Linked DNA regions of Macaca mulatta. The protein of the gene in region 1 interacts with the protein of each later gene in a biochemical or structural test. Links are inferred from orthologs where the notes say so. Each region holds a gene or a part of one and is shown in the gene's direction. Other genes may lie near its edges.

Region 1 (6,406 bases):
AAAATGATTGGCTGATTTGGGGTCAGATGAACACTGCTGGTACAACCAGTGGTCAGAAAGGTAAAAGTCATGTGACTACAGTCAGCTAGGAGGAGGGCTGCAGGTTTGCAGATGCTCTAAAGGTGTGGGAAGAACTGGAGGCAAAGGTGTGTAACTTTGATATGGAAGAAAGTTCACTATTATCACAGGTACTATCTATAATCACTAAGTTAGGTTGTTTCTACATCCAGAAAGCTGCCTGAGTCTGTTCTCTCTGTTATTCCTCTAATTCAGAGGACCCCAATGCCCCATTGTAGACCTGTGGCCTGTTAGGAACTGGGCTGAAGAGCAGGAGGTGAGCAGCTGGCAAGCAAGCATTACTGCCTGAGCTCTGCCTCCTATCAGATCAGGGAGAGCATTAGATTCTCACAGGAACTCAAACCCTATTCTTTTGTTTGTTTGTTTGTTTGTTTTTTTGAGACGGAGTCTCGCTCTGTCGCCCAGGCTGGAGTGCAGTGGCCGGATCTCAGCTCACTGCAAGCTCCGCCTTGCGGGTTTACGCCATTCTCCTGCCTCAGCCTCCCGAGTAGCTGGGACTACAGGCGCCCGCCACCTCACCTGGCTATTTTTTTTTTTTTTTTTTTTTTTTTTTGAGACGGAGTCTCGCTCTGCCGCCCAGGCTGGAGTGCAGTGGCGCGATCTCAGCTCACTGCAAGCTCCGCCTCCTGGGTTCACACCATTGTCCTGCCTCAGCCTCCCGAGTAGCTGGGACTACAGGCACCCGCCACCTCGCCCGGCTAGTTTTTTTGTATTTTTTAGTAGATACGGGGTTTCACCGTGTTAGCCAGGATGGTCTCGATCTCCTGACCTCATGATCCGCCCGTCTCGGCCTCTCAAAGTGCTGGGATTACAGGCTTGAGCCACCGCGCCCGGCCTATTTTGTATTTTTTAGTAGAGACGGGGGTTTCACGGGGTTAGCCAGGATGGTCTCCATCTCCTGACCCTGTGATCCGCCCGTCTCGGCCTCCCAAAGTGCTGGGATTACAGGCTTGAGCCACCGCACCTGGCCACAAACCCTATTTTGAACTGCACCTGTGAGGAATCTAGATTGCACACTCCTTATGGGAATCTAACTGATGATCTTGAGGTATAACAGTTTCATTCCAAAACCATTCTCTGCCTCAGGCCCACCCCCCAAGCCCTGTAGAAAACTGTCTTTGATAAAACAGGTCCCTGGTGCCAAAAAGGTAGAATTGGAATCTAATTTAAATCTTCATCTCTTGCCTGAAATATTGCAACAACTTCCTTTTTGCTGTCTTCACTTTCACTCTCCTGAAATCTATTCTTCAATGCCACAGGGTAATAGTGTGAGGATTAAATAAAAACTTTGTCAACTTTAAAGCACTCCACATATATAAAGTAGTAATAAGGCCGTTGCAACGGCTCACACCTGTAATTCCAACACTTTGGGAGGTCAAGGTGGGAGGATCACTTGAGGCCAGGAGTTCAAGGCCAACTTGAACAGAGCGAGACGCTATCTCAAAAATAAAAAAAAAGCCAGGCATGATGGTTCACACCTGTAATTCCAGCACTTTGGGAGGCCAAGGCAGGTGGATCACCTGAGGTCAGGAGTTTGAGACCAGCCTGGCCAACATGGTGAAACCCTGTCTCTACTAAAAATACAAAAAATTAGCTGGGTGTGGTGGCGAGTGCCTAAAATCCCAGTTACTTGGGAGGCTGAGGCATGGAGACTCGCTTGCATCTGGGAGGTAGGGGTTGCAGTGAGCTGAGATCGCATCCCTGCACTCCAGCCTGGGTAACAGAGTGAGACTCCATCTAAAAATAATAATAATAATAATAATAATAACAAATTAGTAATAGTGGAGGGGAAATAGATCTAACCAAATAACTTGTCTTCTTAAAAACTTTCAGTGGGCCGGGCGCGGTGGCTCAAGCCTGTAATCCCAGCACTTTGGGAGGCCGAGACGGGCGGATCACGAGGTCAGGAGATCGAGACCATCCTGGCTAACACGGTGAAACCCCGTCTCTACTAAAAAATACAAAAAACTAGCCGGGCGAGGTGGCTGGCGCCTGTAGTCCCAGCTACTCGGGAGGCTGAGGCAGAATAGCGTAAACCCGGGAGGCGGAGCTTGCAGTGAGCTGAGATCCGGCCACTGCACTCCAGTCTGGGCGACAGACCGAGACTCCGTCTCAAAAAAAAAAAAAAAACAAAAAACAAAACTTTCAGTGATTTATTCAGTACCTAGAGAACAAAGCTCCTTATATATGTATTTTTTGAGACTGAGTCTTGCTCTGTTGCCCAGGCTGGAGTGCAGTGGGGTGATCTCGGCTCACTGCAACCTCCACCTCCCAGGTTCAAGCAATTCTGTGCCTCAGCCTCCCAAGTAGCTGGGATTACTTGCATGCGTCACCACGCCCAGCTACTTTTTGTAGTTTTAGTAGAGATGGGGTTTTGCCATCTTGGCCAGGCTGGTCTTGAACTGACCACGTGATCCACCCACCTTGGCTTCCCAAAGTGCTGGGATTACAGGCTTGAGCCACCGCGCCTGGCCTCTTCTTACATGTTTTGTTGTTGTTGCTTGCTTTTTGGGACAAGATCTCACTCTGTAGCCCAGGTTGGAGTGCAGTGTCCCATCATAGCTCACTGCAGCCTTGACGTCCTGAGCTCAAGCAATCCTCCCACCTCAGCTTCCGGGATAGCTGAGACCACAGGCACAAGCCACCATGCCCAGCTTATTCTTTTTGGAGATATGGGGTCCCACTATGTTGCCCAGGCTGGCCTCCAACTCCTGAGCTCAAGCGATCCTCTCCTGCCTTGGCTTCCCAAAGTGCTGGGATCACAGGCGTGAGCCACTGTGCAGGCCTTATATGATCTTAAGCCTCTTCATATCCTGAACTAAATGTAACTTTCCAGTTTCGGCACTTGTTCTGGCACTTTTCCTCCCTCGCTAGATAATACTAATCTTTAATCATGTAGTTTGTTTCCATGCCCATACTACCCTATCTGCTTATAGTGTCTTCCACTTCGCCCAAGAAATCCTACTCAGCTAGCTTGTGTTGTTTTGAGACACTCTCGTTCTGTCGCCCACGCTGGAGTACAGTGGCGAGATCTCGGTTCGTTGCAACCTCTTCCTCCCGGGTTCAAGCGATTCTCGGCCCTACTCAGCCTTTAAAACCGGAATCACGGGTCAAAACTTTCTGGTAAACCACGAGACGGTTTAGGTTATGAAATTCAATGCCCCCTTCCTCTGAAGTCCTGCAAATCTCCAGTAAAGCACCACAGATTGACGAATATTCCAGCCGTTTCCCTCTCCCCTCCGATAGCTCCATTTCCCACTTCTATCCATCTTCTCGAGCTTCCTCAGCTCCTCCACCTCCATGAGGCCTGGAAAGCACCTGGTTCCAGGAATGTGAGTCGGAGGCTCAGAGCTACCAGCGCCAAAAGCTGACGTTCAGATACTGCTGAAACAAACCACAAGAGTGCTAAGGCTCTAGGTAATAGTCCGGCTCCAGGTAATAGTCCAGCTGGGATGACGGTAGGAACTCGCAGGCCCGCCGGCGGTGCATGCCGGGAGATGCAGTCCCGGGCCGACGCATTACCTCTTGGGAGTTGTAGTCTTCGATCTGGTAAACAGACCACAGCAACTCTGATGTCTTCCCCCACCGTCCCCCGAAAACCCTCGCCCCACCCGCGAGGGACTAGGGTAAGAGTAGGGGCGTTGCCGTGGTTGGCCTAGAACTCCTAGGCTCAGACGATCCTCTCGCCTCGGCCTCCCGAGTTAGCTGGGACTACGCGCGTGAGCCACCGCGCCCGGCATAAAGTCTGAATTAGTCCTTACGCAAAAAGGGAAGAGGGCAGTCCGTAACCTCGCGCAGGATCAAGCTCTCGAGTTCCAGTCTTGGGCTAGCGCGGAGGGCGGAAGGGGCAAGAAGGCGGATCCGGAAGGCGGAGATACGTTACGCCGACGCGGGCGTGACCCTGGGCGAGAGGGTTTGGCGCGAATTCTGAAAGCCGCCGGCGGAGCGCGCCCAGCGACCAGAGACCGACCCTTAAGGAGAGCGCGGCGCTTCCCGAGGCGTGCAGCTGGGAGCTGAAACTCGTCTGGGTTGTGCGCAGAAGGCTAGGGCAAGCGAGTAGACTTGAAGTGGGGCGTAAGCCAGGGGCGTTGGGGTCCGCGCGGGTCAGGCGCGTGTCACCCCCGCAGGGTGAAGTCGGAGCGCGCGGCCCGTTGGAAAGAGCAGCGCTGAGGGCCAAGGTGAGTGTGTGAGGCGCAGGCCGGGCCCTCTATAGCTGCGGCTCGTCGTCGCCCACCTGGGTCCTGGCCGGTCCAATGCTCAGGGGCAGGTGGGGTCTCCGCGCACAGTGTGAAACCCGGACGTGGCAGGGCGTGTCCGCGTCCGACCGACCCTCAGTTGCTGGGGCGAAAACACAGGTGGACCCCAGTCTTTAGAACTAGGGGAGAAACATTAGAGCCTTCATAGCCAACACCCGTTTTATGAGTTTGAGCGAGGAGTCTGAGATCAGAGCGGTGTAGCCACAGCTGTTTAATATCACAGCCAGGGCTTCCGGATTCTTGGTCTGTCTTTCCGTTACACCGTGCTTAGAAAGTACCAACCTGCAATTGCCAAAACAGTATTTTCGTCATCTAATGCGGAAAACCATTCGCATGATGCCTAGAGAATGATCTGAAGTGAGGCTTGGTTTTCTTAAAACTTTTTTTTTTTTTTTTTTTTGAGATGAAGTCTCGCTCTTTAGCCCAGGCTGGAGTGTAGTGGCGCGATCTCGGCTCACTGCAACCTCCGCCTCCCGGGTTCAAGCGATTCTCCTACCTCAGCCTCCCAAGGAGCTGGGATTACAGGCTCCCGCCACCACGACTGGCTGATTTTTGTATTTTTTTTTTTTTTTTTTTTTTTGAGACGGAATCTTGCTCTGTTGCCCAGGCTGGAGTGCAGTGGCCGGATCTCAGCTCACTGCAAGTTCCGCCTCCCGGATTCAGGCCATTCTCCTGCCTCAGCCTCCCGAGTAGCTGGGACTACAGGCGCCCGCCACCTCATCCGGCTAGTTTTTTTTTTTGTATTTTTTAGTAGAGACGGGGTTTCACCGTGTTAGCCAGGATGGTCTCGATCTCCTGACCTCGTGATCCGCCCGTCTCGGCCTCCCAAAGTGCTGGGATTATAGGCTTGAGCCACCGCGCCCGGCCGATTTTTGTATTTTTAGTAGAGACAGGGTTTCACTATGCTGGTCAGGCTGGTGTCGAACTCCTGACCTCAGGTTATCCACCCGCCTCCACCTCCCAAAGTGCTGGGATTACAGGCGTGAGCCACCGCGCCTGGCCCCTGTTTTTTTTTTTTTTTTTTTTTAAACTTCTAAAGTGATATGTAATATACATAAGTGATATGTAATATACATATGTGTAGAAAAATGCACATTCACAACTGTATACAACTCCGTGAATTATTACAAAATATACTGGCCGGGTGTAGTGTCTCAAGTCTGTAGTCCCAGCACTTTAGGAGGTGGAGGCGGGAGGACAATTGAGCCCAAGAGTTCGAGAACAGCCTGGTCAAGATAGTGAGACCAGTATCTCTACAGATAGAAAAAATTAGCCAGGCTTGGTGGTGTGCACCTGTAGGCCCAGCTATTCAGGAGGCTGAGAAGGGAGGATCTAGCCTGGGAAGTATAAGCTGCAGTGAGCCGTGATCAGGCCACTGCACTCCAACCTGGGCGATAGAGCAAGACAAAATGAATGTACACCTACGTAATCACCACTTAATAGAATGGTCCCCAGAAGCCTTCCTTATGTAGTATTTAATATTTTCCCCTTTTTACAGTGGTAACTGGTATACTGGTTTCTAATGCGATTAACTAATGTTGCTCGTTTTTGAATTTTATATAAAAATACATCAGGAGTGTTGAGTGTTTCGTTGTTTTACATGCTTGACAACACGATTTTCAGCCTTTTATATTTTAACTATTCTGGCCGGGCGCGGTGACTCACGCCTGTAATCCCAGCACTTTGGGAGGCTGAGACGTGCGGATCACAAGGTCAGGAGATAGAGACCATCCTGGCTAACATGGTGAAACCCGGTCTCTACTAAAAATACAAAAAAAATTAGCCGGGCGTGGTGGCGAGCGCCCGTAGTCCCAGCTACTGGGGAGGCTGAGGCAGGAGAATTGCAGTGAACCGAGATGCAATGAGTCGGGAGGCGGAGCTTGCAGTGAGCCGAGATGGCGCCACTGCACTCCAGCCTGGGCGACAGAGCAAGACTCCGTCTCAAAAAAAAAAAAAAAAAATTTTTTTTTTTTTTACTATTCTGCTGGTTACACAGTAATGTCTCAATGTGATTTTAATTTTCCTGATTACTAATGAGGTTGGGTATTTGTTCATATGTTTTTCCCATTTGG
Region 2 (6,491 bases), on another chromosome or scaffold:
TGAATGCTTTGCTTAGAAATTTCTTCTGCCAGATAATCCTAAATCATCTCTCCCAAGTTCAAAGTGCCACAGTTCTCTAAGGCAGGGGCAAAATACGACCAGTCTCTCTGCATAGCAACAGTGACCTTTACTCCAGTTTCCAGCAAGTTCTTCATCTCCATCTGAGACCACCTCCACATGGACTTTATTGTTCATTTCACTATAAGCATTTTGGTCAAAGCCATTCAACAAGTCTCTAGGAAGTTCCGAACTGTCACGTCTTCCTGTCTTCTGAGCCCTCCAAGTCTCTAGGAAGTTCCAAACTTTCCCACATTTTTCTATCTTCTTCTGAGCCCTTCAAACTGTTCCAACCTCTGCCTGTTACCCAGTACCAAAGTCGCTTCCACATTTTCAGGTATCTTTATGGCAGCGCCCTACTACCCTGTACCAACTGACTACATTAGTTTGTTCTCATGCTGCTAATAAAGACATACCTGAGACTGGGTAATTTATAAAGGAAAGAGGTTTAATTGACTCACAGTTCCACATGGCCAGGGAGGCCTCACAATCATGGCTGAAGGTGAATGAGGGGCAAAGTCATGTTGTACATGGTGGCAGACAAGAGAGCTTGTATAGGGAAACTCTCCTTTATAAAACCATCAGATCTTGTGAGACTTACTCACTATCAGGAGAACAGCATGGGAAAGACCGGCCCCCAAGACTCAATTACCTCCCAGTGACTCCCTCCCACAACGTGGGAATTATGGGAGCTACAATTCAAGATGAGATTTGGGTGAGGACAGAGGCAAACCATATCAATAGGGCTGTTATGAGGAGGATTAAATAAGTAAATACATAAAATGGGTTTAGCCCAGTGCCTGATACAAAGTAAACACTAAATATACATTATTAGAGGGACTGACTTCCTCATAAAGTATTAAAAAGATATCAAGGAAACAAAACACACACTTAGAGACTTTTAGGGGTAACAAGGAGAATCTGAGATATTTTAAAATATATCCTTACTTAATAATAGCTAACATGTATTGATCACTTATTATGTGCCAGGCATTGAATTATGCACATTATATACATAATCTCCTTTAATCTTAACTGTAACTGCAAAAAACCAACATGTATTACAGATAAATTAAGTAATTTGTCTAAACTCCCCTTTAGAAGGAATTGAGCCTGGATTTATAATACAAACTGGTCTGCAAATATGTATTGTTAATATCATTTTCTAAAATTATTCCATGTGCCATGACCATTGAAATGCGAAGTTGCTCATTGTGCCATGTGCCATGACATTTAAAATAAGAAGTTAATGTCTATGGCTGTACCACCCTGAACATTCCCCATCTCATCGGAAATAAGAAGTTATTTAAGTTTCAGCATTCTGGATTTCATGAACCAGTACAATGGAAGAACCAGTACAATGGAAGAAAGGGCAGGGGTGGTGGAACTTGAGGTAAGAGAGAAAAAAACAATCTCTCTTTAAATTGAATATAGTTTTAGGGGGAAAAAATCACCATATTGCTGTTGATTTTTTTCTTTTGCTAAGGATTGATACAAACTTCATCATATATCAAATGAACTAAATAACAGGTCTGGGAACTAGAATTTGGGTTTTCTGACTTCTTGGCAAAATCTTTTTTTTTTACTTTCTTTAAAAATTATTTTAATTGACAAATAAAAATTGCATATATTTACGGAGCACATGTTTTAAAATACAAATACATTGTATAATGACTAAATCACACTAATTAAGATATGCATTACCTGACATAATTGTTTTGGTAGTGAGATATCACTATTTTCAGTAATCTATATAAATCAAATAGTATAAGAGATACGTTTAAAAAAAATTACATCTAATTGTAGTTCTCGGCCAAGTTTGTTCTACATTTAATTACTCCATTTTCTGCATTCCCAAACACTCTGTTCATTTCTCACATAATATTAAGATGGAGATTGAAGTGGATTACTGCATTTCATTGTGATTTATCCGTTTACATGTCTCTGAGTAGAATATGAGCTTCTTGAAGAAAGGGACTTTGTCTATACATGTTTGATACACAGCTCCTGGTAAGCGGTATGACCTAACATTGTTAAATAAAGGAATGGGATTTATAGATATAATCTGGAACATGTATCAAAATTTACAATAATACCCAATTTGTGTATTATGTATATTCTATAATATTCATCCATATACATCCATATATTATATATAGAGTTCCATGAAGTTCACTACTGTATTCAGAATGATATTCAAATGCTATTCAAACAATTCTAAATGATATATTTTTAGCACCATAAAATGTTACACAAATCCATATTTAAATAGTATTATTGTATAATAACCTGTAAACTAGAGTTACTACACACACATACACACCACACAAATTCTATTTAAAAAGCTATTTACCACAAAGTAATTCTAAGACTTGATTAACACTGCCTAATGGAAAAGTCTGGAGATTGGAGCCAGGCAAAAAAAAATCTGCATTTTGGTTGTCTAGCACTACCTGAGTAATTTCCGTTGCTTCTTTCTGAACGTGAATTTTCTGTGATGTGGAGACATTTAATACCATCCTTAGTGAACTGGCTTAAGGACTGGAGGTAATAATGTATGTGAAGGGCTGATGAATGCTTGTAGTCAGACTGTAGTCTCTCTAGAGTTCCTTCCTCGGTTGCAAACTAAGTAAAGGCTTTTTTGTTTGTTTTACACATTATGAGTCTTTTATAGTCAGGAAAACTACACGGATCCCAACTTTGGCAATTCAGAGAGTCCGATTTACGTGGTAGAGACAAATATATATATATATATATATTTAATACATATATATATAAAAAACTCGGAAAACTCGCTAAACCCGCAGGGAGCGCTGGGCCGACCTCCAGTATCCCAGCATTCCTCGCGCTGCTCCCGTAGTTCCTTCTCCGAGTCTCTATGGTAGCGTCAGCCTCGGAGGCGGCAGTGACGGTGGCGTTTCCTTGAGGAAGAGTGAGGGTTCCAACTTTACTGCTGATCTGGGAGGTGTTGGGCGCGGAGGGTCGAGATGTCAGAGAAAAAGCAACCCGTAGACTTAGGTCTCTTAGAGGAAGACGACGAGTTTGAAGAGTTCCCGGCCGAAGGTAACCGCTGTGCCCCGGTTTCTGTGCCGCGCGAACGGTGACTCAGGCCTCCGTGTGGAGGTGGTTTGGTCGGTCGGGCCCAGCTGGGGGCACCGGCGGGAAGTTTGGACTCCCAGGGCCGGCACTCGAGGCGCTAACGCTCATCCCTCAGTGGCGCCCCAGCGTCGGGTTTGGGGTGTCGCTCTGGGACTCATTGGCGAGGCCCAATGGCCTCAGCTTCCGTACTGGGAGGAGCCACCGTGAGTCTGGACCCATAGCCCCGCGTCTGGGATGGTTGGTCCCTTTACTGTTCCTCTGGGTTACTCACCACTTAAACTTTAGTTCAAGTCTACATAACTTCCTTTTATTTTTCTTTTCTTTTCGTTTCGTTTCGTTTCGTTTCGTTTTAGCAGTCTTTCTTTGCCTTTAAACCTTTCCAGAATTGAATTGTCTGTAGTTACGCCAATGCTGCTTAACTTTTAGGATGTTACAAATGAAGCCTGATTAAGTAAGACAGAAGGGTAAGATATTGGGTGCTTAATACACATTATTGCCTTACTCCTGTTCCTCACCATTTTTGTCACTTAACTGTGACCTAACTTAATGCTTTATAAGACCCTACAACTTGACGGGTATGGTGGCTCAGGCCTGTAATCCCAGCAGTTTGGGAGGCCGAGGTAGGAGGATCACATGAGGTCAGGAGTTCAAGACCAGCCTGGGCAACATAGTGAGACCCTGTCCCTACAAAAATAAAATATATATTTTTAAAAATATATATATTTTTTCAATTAAAAATACACTTTTTTTTTTTTTTTTTTTTTTTAGTTTCAAAACTAAAGACCTTTAGTTTTTTTGTTGTAGGTAATAGCAAATTGCTAACATTTCTTGAGTGGCTGCTGTTTTCAGGAACTTGTCTAAGTGCTTTACTTGTAATAGCATATTCCACTTTCATAAATTCCACTAGGGCCTACTTCCTGTATGCCCTAGACCATTCTTTAGATAAACTGAAGCTCAGAGTGAAACGTTCCTGATGTCTCATAACTAGTTAGAAACAATAGAAGTGGAATTGGGACACCTGTTCTGATTGACACCAAAGTTCTTAACTTTAGCTGTACTGCTTCTGTTTGTGAGATTGCTGTTACCAGTTAGGTTTTCAAAATAGGCTGCTTTATTGACTAATGGTTGATGAGTAGGACTTGTAAATATTTACCTTATAAGAAAAGGAGATTACTTTCTGAAGGTGGTAGAAAGAGAATTGTGGTTAATGGGGTACACATCCTGTTGCATCAAGCAATTACTACTTCACTAAAATTGTCCCAAGTTGTATACCCTATCATGATCCTATTGTACGTAAAACCACATAGCTGGAACATTTGTTCTATTTATAATGTACTGTTACTTTGTTTAGTGGAAGAGAACATTAGTGTACATGCTACAGAAACTCGTAAACTAACCCAAAGCACATTTCTTTTCAGTTCTGGAATTCATTATGTATTGTAGGCATTCTTAGTTTTTTGTTTTGGTAATGGATTTATCTGTTCAGTCATGTTTTCTTTAGCTCACTTTCAAGTTGCGTCATAATCTGCCAACGTAGAGCTGTGTCATAGAAAGCTGGCCTATTGAAGGTAGGATCTTCTTACTCAAACTTCATACTTCAAATAACATTGTTCATTATCATATACAGGGTGGAATGTTAGGCACTTTATTTACATTATATAATCTAATTATCACTATCACCCTGAGAATATGGAGGCTCAGAGACAAAAAGAAAAACAAATAAACAAAACTTGCCATTATGTCCAAGCCAGAATCTGAAAGGTCTGTCTCTCTGATCCAAACTTTATCCGCAGCATTTAGCAGAGTGCCTAATACATAGTAGGTGGTCAATAAATGCTTGTTGAATGAATGATGAATGAACCCGCATTTAAAATGAGTAGTTAGTTGATAATTGACTGCTTAAAAACGATCTAGAGATAACTATGTACCTGATGGTACACTTGATTTTTTTCAGCAACTTTCATCAGCTTTTGCTAGTGTAGTTTGTGCTTGTTCTAAGTTTATGCTGTGAGCAGCAATTTTTCGAAGTGCCAGCAGTTACATAGTAAAACAAAACAAAAAGGTAAAAGGAAAAGCAAAGAAAATATTCTAAGGACAAAAGACTCACAACAGACTGGTTTATTAACATTAAGTTATTGACCATTTATGGGTCTCCTTACAGAATGTTTGTTGTCTTCAGATATAAATGTGTAGAATTAATTCATTCAGGAAACTTTCCATTTTAGAATGAGAAACATTTTTAATGTCTATTTTGTTCAAGTTTCTCTTCTCTGGTTTATGATTTGGAGAGGTTTTTCTTAAGTTAGTGAGAAAATCAGCCCACAAGGTGAAACCACTCAATATTTACTCATGAAAATTGTTCTGATGAATAACAAAACCTAAAGAAGAACAAACTTGGGAAAATATCACCAAATAATTATTTCTTTTCTGAGAATCTGCATTTCTGACATGTTTTGGTCTAGTCAAGGTTTAGAGTCTGTTGCTATTCAAAATGTGATCCATGAAACAGCAGACTTGGCATTGCCTGGGAGCCTGTTAAAACTGCAGCATCTCATCGTTCCTCAAACCTAGACCTACTTAATAAGTGTGGGCTTTACCAAGATTCCTAAGAGATATGTTTGCACATTAAAGTTTGAAAAGTATTACTTTGAACAGTGACCTATTTTCAATATTTTGGTATTTGAGTTTTCACTTCAATTATTAATGCCCTGATTTACTTTCAAGTTCTTTCTGTACTTTGGAAAATTATTTTTCTTGTAAGTATGCCGTTGACAAATTCACTAACAGATACAAATTAAAATTGCTGTTGTTAAGGCAGCCTGTGAACATCTCTGCAGTGTATATAACAGATCGTACTTTCAAAGGCTTTGTTGAGTATCAGTGCTCCGAGAGGTTGCCACATGAAAGTCATTACTCATGGTTCGACTAATAGATTTTCTTTTGGGAGTGGGTCTTCCTTTTGGAAGTGGTGTTGCTACATCCATCTTGTGTAAGAATTTGTTTGGTGGGATGTCCATTTAATCATTTTAAGGAAAGGGATATTTTATTGTTTCTTCTCTCTCTCTCTCTCTCTTTTTTTTTTTTTGGTTGTTCGAGATGGAGTTTCACTCTCGTTGCCCAGGCTAGAATGCAGTGGTGTGATCTTGGCTCCCTGCAACCTCCCCTCCCCGGTTCAAGTGATTCTCCTGCCTCAGCCTCCCAAGTAGCTGGGATTACAGGCATGTGCCACCACGCCCGGCTAATTTTGTATTTTTAGTAGAGATGGGGTGTCTCCATGTTGGTCAGGCCGGTCTCGAACTCCCGACCTTAGGTGATCTGCCCGCCTCTGCCTCCCA
Region 3 (6,585 bases), on another chromosome or scaffold:
AGTTCAACATTAAAAGTCTCTGTAACTAACACATTAATGTGTTATTACAACCAATAAGTAATAACCAATTAATTTGTTAGTTACAGAGACTTTTACCTCCAATATTTGTTACTGTTAACCCCAAGGCACACTATAATGTCCTTATAAAAATGTTTAGGGTGATATACTTGGCATTTAATGATTGAAGAAGGAAATGAAATGAATACCAATATATTGGTGTATACCAATATATTCATTTCCAAAGATATATGTATCCACATAATTGGACAAAGACTGATTTTTTCTTTTGAGACAGGGTTTCATTCATGTTGCCCAGGCTGGTTTTGGACTCCTAGACTCAAGCATTTCTCCCCACTCGGCCTCCCAAAGTGCTAGCATTACAGGCATGAGCTGCCACACCTAGGCCTAAATTGCATTTTATTAGTTTCCTTTAGAGATAATCCAAAATCAGACTATACACTTCTGCAGAAAAGTACTTTTGAACTACACATTATGGTGTCCTTTGCATTACCAAGTACTTCATGTTTAGTATTTGTTGAATAACGGAAATCTTGTTTTTTAAACTTCTTTTTCTTTTTTTTTTTTGAGATGGAGTCTCGCTCTGTTGCCCAGGTTGGAGAGTGCAATGGCACGATCTTGCCTCACTGCAACCTCCGCCTCCTGGGTTCAAGCAATTCTTCTGCCTCAGCCTGCCCGGTATCTGGGATTACAGGCACCTACCACCATGCTCAGCTAATTTTTGTATTTTTAGTAGAGACAGGGTTTCACCATGTTCACCAGGCTAGTCTTGAACTCCTGACCTCAAGTGATCTGTCCGCCTTGGCCTCCCAAACTGCTGGGATTACAGGCGTGAGCCACCATGCCTGGTCTTTTTAAACTTTTTACTTGAACTAATGTTTGACTTGCAGAACACTTGCAAAAACAGAACAGAGAGTTCATGTGTACACTTCTTTCAGCTTTCTTTCTTTTCTTAAGAGGCAGGGTCTCACTATGTTGCCCAGGCTGGTCTTTTCTCAAACTCCTGGCCTCAAGCAATCCTCCTGCCTTGGCCTCCAAATAAATATAAACAAATATTTATTGAGTGCAGTCTGTAAGACTAGTACTGTTCTGGCTGGGCGCAGTGGCTCACGCCTGTAATCTCAGCACTTTAGGAGGCCGAGGTGGGTGGATCATGAGGTCAGGAGTTTGAGACCAGCCTGGCCAATATGGTGAAACCCCGTCTCTACCAAAAATACAAAAAAATTAGCCGGGCATGGAGGTTCATGCCTGTAGTCCCAGCTGCTTGGGAGGCTGAGGCAGAAGAATCACTTTAACCCAGGAGGCAGAGGTTGCAGTGAGTCAAGATCATGCCACTGCACTCCAGTTGGGTGACAGAGTGAGACTCCGTCTCAAAAAACAAAACAAAACAAAGCAAAAAAGACTAGTACTGTTCTAAACACATGGGTGCAGCAGAGAATAAAGCAAAGATCTTGCCCTCATGTAGCTTATATTCTGAGAGTAGTAGAAAAACAATAAACAAGTAAGTGTATGTTAGGGAATGGAAAGTGTGATGAAAATCTATAAAACAGGGTAAGGGAGATAGAAGATGAGACAAGAGAGTAACACACTGTCAGATAAGGCCCTTTGACTACTTGATATGTGAGTAATGATCTGAAGTGAACAAGCAAACCAGACGCAAATCTGCAAGAGGAATGTCCCGGCTACCTTTAGCCAATCTGTTTTAGATTTTCTGAACTTCCCAGATGATATTAAGGTAGGCTGCAGACACTACGAGAGCTAGCTTGTTTTCTGGTTACCCTTACTCTTTACGTGTCCCAGTCCAAAGACGAGGGGGATGCAGTTTACCAAGGTGCCCAACCTTGGTAGGTCCCCATTTCAAATTCTTGTAACCCTGGCTCCGGGAGCTGCCAAAAGCACAACTCAACCTATGAGGTGCTCTTTATGACTGGAAAAAGCCCCAGGATAAAAGCTCCTTAAGGAGCACATTCTTCTTTTTTTTTGAAACAGGGTCTCTCTCTGCCACCCAGGCTGGAGTGCAGTGGCGCCATCTCAGTTCACTGCAGCCTCCACCTCCCAGGTTCAAGCGATTCTCCCGCTTTAGTCTGCTGAGTAGCTGGGACTACAGGCGCGCCCCACCAAAACCAGCTATATTTTTAGTAGAGACCGGGTTTCACCATGTTGGCCTGGCTAGTCTCGAACTCCTGACCTCAAGTGATCCGCCCCCCTCGGCCTCCCAAAATTCTGGGATTACAGGCTTGAGCCACCGCTCCCAGCCTCAAATTACTCTTTTAAATAGCTGTACCTATTTACACTCCTACCAGCAGCCCAAGAGTTCTCACTGTTTCACATCTTCATTTCACCCTTGATATTTTTTAGCTTTTACTTTTGTCAAACTGTTGGATAAAACTCAGTAAACAACCTTTAGCCATTCTCTATCCTTTCAGATTAGCCTTTCTAATACCATTTTTCAGGGATAGCTGACTGTGTCATCGCCTAGCACTTAGAAGGTGCTAAGCAAATACTCATTGAATGATGTAACTTTCCTATTTAATATCCTTTAATGCTTTTCCAAGTCCGGGGGCGGCTTCCCTTTTCTGAGAGCCTAATAATCACGTATTCATTTCTATATTCCCAGAACCTAACAAAGTTTGAAAATTATCCTGCAGGCAACACTAGGTCAATGTTTTTTCGGATTAATTAATAACCAATAGGATATCGTATACCTCTGCGATGCACGCATTTCTATTATCGCACACACCGAATCATACCTTATTTATTACTTATCCACGCAGATGGTGAGATCTGTAGCCTCGGCATCTACACTGTGTCTGAAAGTAGGCACGAAACCGGTATTTTTTTAATTGAACCGTAAACTTGAATCAAACTTGGAAGCCTTTAAAGGGAAACGCAAAGGTACATGCGCAGTGATGCAATAGGGTCGTCCAATCAGAGTAGGGCAGGACTGGACAGTGCAGCGGCTAGGTAGTGCGCACGCGCACCGGGCTCGTCCGCGATTGGCTTCGCCGAGGCGGGAGCCTTGAGCTTCTCCGGTGGCGAGGGGACCGCTGGTTACCAGAAGTGCTTCTTTGCAGGGCCAGTGGTTTCTGTCAGATTTTCGCCGGTGCGTCCTGGAGGGGGAAGCTCGGGAGGCCGCGACAGCCTGTAGGCTCGTGCGGGACAAAGCAGGGAGTGGCGCCGGAGCAGGCCTCCGAGGGAGGAGGGAGGGAAGGAGGCAGGAGCGACCGAAGTGGCCTCCTGCGGGCCTGCAACTTTGGTCTGAAGTGCGAGGGACGCCCTGGCTGCTGGCCCCGGGGGGCTAGGAGCGAAGGGCGGGTGGTGGGGGTGTAGAGGTGTGCGTTTGTGTGCGAGGGATGGTTCTGGGCTGTGGCCCCTGGGGCCGCCCCTGCTGTCGCTTTGCTCAGGCTTCTGTGGCGTTTGGGTCTCTCCCTCACTCCTGCACTGGGAAGCCCCTTCCCCAGCAACAGGGGGTGAAGGCTCCGCGAACGCCCTGGAGAGTGTCGGTACGCCTTCTTTAGGGACTTTTACCTCCTCGCTGGTCAGGTTTTTCTTGTATTTCCTTAAAATCTTTTAATCGATTACCTTATGAAAGATTTTCTAGGTAGGTACAGATGCTTCTCGACTTACTACGGAGTTGAAAATATCCTAAGTCGAAAATGGATTTAAAACAGCTAACCTACTGAGTATTAAAGCTTGGCCTAGCCTAGTTTTGTTATCAAAAAAATTAATTTTCAGCGGTTTATTTTAGATTTGGGAGTACATGTGCAGGTTTGTTGCATCGGTATATTACGTGGTGCTGAGGTTTGGATACGATTGATCCTGTCACCCAGGTAGTGAGCATAGTACCCAATAGTTTTTGAACCCTTGCTCCTCCTTTCCTCCCCCTTCTAGTTGTCCCCACTGTCTATTATTGCCATCTTTATGTTCATGAATGCCCAGTGTTTAGCTCCCATTTATAAGTGAGAACATGCAATATTTGATTTTCTGTTTCTGCTTTAATTCGCTTTGGGTAATAGCCTCCAGCTGCACCCATGTTGCTGTAAAGGACATGATTTCATGCCTACCTTAAACATACTCAGAACACTTACCTTAATCTACAGTTGGGCAAAATCATGACCACAGACAGTTATGTGGTTACTTGCACAGTTTCTACTAAATGCTTATGGCTTTCTTAAAAGTTGAAGAATTCTAAGTGAAACCGTCCTAAATTAGGAACCATCTGTATAGCCGGAGTCTCAAAGGAGCAACTTAAGGCATGAAGTGAGATAATTACTACTTAATGTAGTTGGAAGTCGAAAAGCAGAAACAGCAGGGAAAGACTGTTGCTGGTTCTTGGTAGAGTTGGTTTACTTACATTCTTGCATCCCAGACGTTTGATGGTTGCACATACCTCTCTTTAAAGCCCAGACGAACCCAAAGATTCTGGTCATTGTCCTGTATGTTGAACTACCCCTTTTCTATCTCCCCCACAGGACCTTCGTCATTTCTATTCTCCAATAATACTAATTATAGATAGTAATATTACAGATAACATTGAGTGCTTATGTGTCAAGTTTTGTTTTAAGTGCTTTACATATTTCATTTAATCCTCCCAACAGTCCGGTGTGTAAGTATGATTATGGTACCCCCTCTTAAAGATGAGGAAACTGAGACACATGGAGCCTAAGTAAACTGTGCAAGACCATTGGGAAGTGTCAGTATTTATATTCAGGCATTTGCTTTCAAAGTTGTGTTCTTATTTACCACAGTGTAGTGCCAAGTACTTGTGGCTATCTGGTGTATTGCAGTTGTCAGCCTGGCCTTACCATTTTACTTGGAAGGACTGAAGCTAATAGGTGTTACAGAAGTTGTAGCATCACATCAGGGCTACCAAATGGCTTTATTTCTAGGACCTGGGAAAAGGGCTCAGACAGCATTAATTAATTAATTAATTTATTATGGACAGGACAACATGAACATACAGAACTAGTTTAAAAAGCTATAAGGGTGCGGTACTCTTTTGGGGGGAAATGTACTGATTTCTGCATTTTACTTTGAAATGCATCAACAAATTAAATGTCTTGATGGGTGCCTAAGGTCATATGTAAATAGCACAGTTTGGATTCTAGCCAGGCAGCCTGGCTGGCTCCAGAGTCAGTTTGTTTTCTTAATCACTGCTCTGTGATGATGCTTGTATGCTTGCATTATCATTTTTATTAGTTTACAAAATAGGAAGGTGGAAAAATCAGAAATCATGTATTAGATGTAGAAGGGTTTAGGGTAGTAATTCTTCACATTTAGTGTTGAAAGAAATTTTAGCATCTAGTTCATTCTTTATTTTATAAATGAGAAAATTGGTGTCTAGAGAGTTAAATAGCTTCCCCAAAGTTAAGCATCCCTGAAATAGCAGAATCTGAACTACACTCTGGTTTCCTTCATTTCTACTGTTGATGTTTCTAACTACTGTATTTTTTTAAGTGTTCCTTTTGAAAAAGTGTCAGAATTTTCACAGTATTAAAGGGGAGTCTGATTAATGTAGAGAACAGAATGATGTGGACATCATATTTTTATTAATGCTATCTAGAATTTATTAGTTTAAGAAGGCTCATTATCTTATTTCAGTTGAACTATAGTCACTAAAATCTTTAGTTTTAAATTTCAGCTTCTATTGTTCTATTTCATTTGACCATTAAGTAACTGAGTCTAAATGCAAGGCCTAACATCCATGTCCTCTTGTGACAGTTGCCATTAATCAATTTCAAACTTGTGTCAATTATATATTTAGAGACCTGTAGTATTCTGCTTACCCATTATAAAAAGGAAATTAGTTTAATGAAGTTATTTTGGCATGACTTGTTTGGCCAGAATTTGTATTTACTTCTGGCATTGGCAAATACTGCTTCTAAAGCAGTCAAAAACCATCTGTTTCATAATTTGCTCTAAGATTAAAGATTATACTAATAGAGATCTATTTTGTTGTTGAATAAGAAATTGAAGAGAGTGACCTCTACTACTCATTCCTCAAACTATGTAAAGGCTGGTTATATATAAAATATTTACATGTTTCATCATTTTAACATTGATGAAATCAGGAAATGTCTAACCATCAATGATAGTGTATCATAGTTCAATTGGCTACACTTTTTTTCTTGGATACATAAAATAATGGTACATCTTACAACTAAAAAAATTTTTATTTTTAAAATATTTACTTTTAAACATTTCTTTTATATGGACTAACAACCAAGAGTATGTCTTACAATTGATGGCATTTTAGATTTGATGAAATATGGTAATTTAAAAAATCTAATTCATGATACTTTTCCCTATTACAAAGGTAATATTTTCATTGTAAAAAATTTGAAATATACAGAAAATAACTCAGAATAGAATAAAAATTACTGGTTATTCTAACCAGACCTAGAAATAATTACGGTTAATATTGTGGCATGTGTTTTTCTAGTTTTTAAAAAACAATTGTATATTTTAATATATGACATATATACTTTATAGCAGTATAATTTACAGTGTGCAGTTAGATGTGTACATTTTGATGTTTTGATATACAGATGTATATATACTCCTGTA

Evidence for each region. The genes of interacting proteins can lie anywhere in the genome.
Region 2: the proteins of RAD51 (region 1) and SEM1 form a complex in vitro, tested with the Homo sapiens proteins (2 studies listed by BioGRID). The link is inferred for Macaca mulatta from reciprocal best matches to the Homo sapiens genes RAD51 and SEM1.
Region 3: the proteins of RAD51 (region 1) and RAD54B form a complex in vitro, tested with the Homo sapiens proteins (2 studies listed by BioGRID). The link is inferred for Macaca mulatta from reciprocal best matches to the Homo sapiens genes RAD51 and RAD54B.

What each region holds. Positions count from the first base shown.
Region 1 is NC_133412.1:18,028,727-18,035,132, forward strand, and holds the start of RAD51 (DNA repair protein RAD51 homolog 1), read left to right. Parts: upstream 1-2,217; 5' UTR 2,218-4,256; intron 4,257-6,406.
Region 2 is NC_133408.1:122,656,467-122,662,957, forward strand, and holds the start of SEM1 (26S proteasome complex subunit SEM1), read left to right. Parts: upstream 1-2,912; 5' UTR 2,913-3,044; coding exon 3,045-3,120; intron 3,121-6,491. UniProt on the Homo sapiens protein: Component of the 26S proteasome, a multiprotein complex involved in the ATP-dependent degradation of ubiquitinated proteins.
Region 3 is NC_133413.1:104,865,320-104,871,904, reverse strand, and holds the start of RAD54B (DNA repair and recombination protein RAD54B), read left to right. Parts: upstream 1-3,006; 5' UTR 3,007-3,121; intron 3,122-6,585. UniProt on the Homo sapiens protein: Involved in DNA repair and mitotic recombination. May play an active role in recombination processes in concert with other members of the RAD52 epistasis group.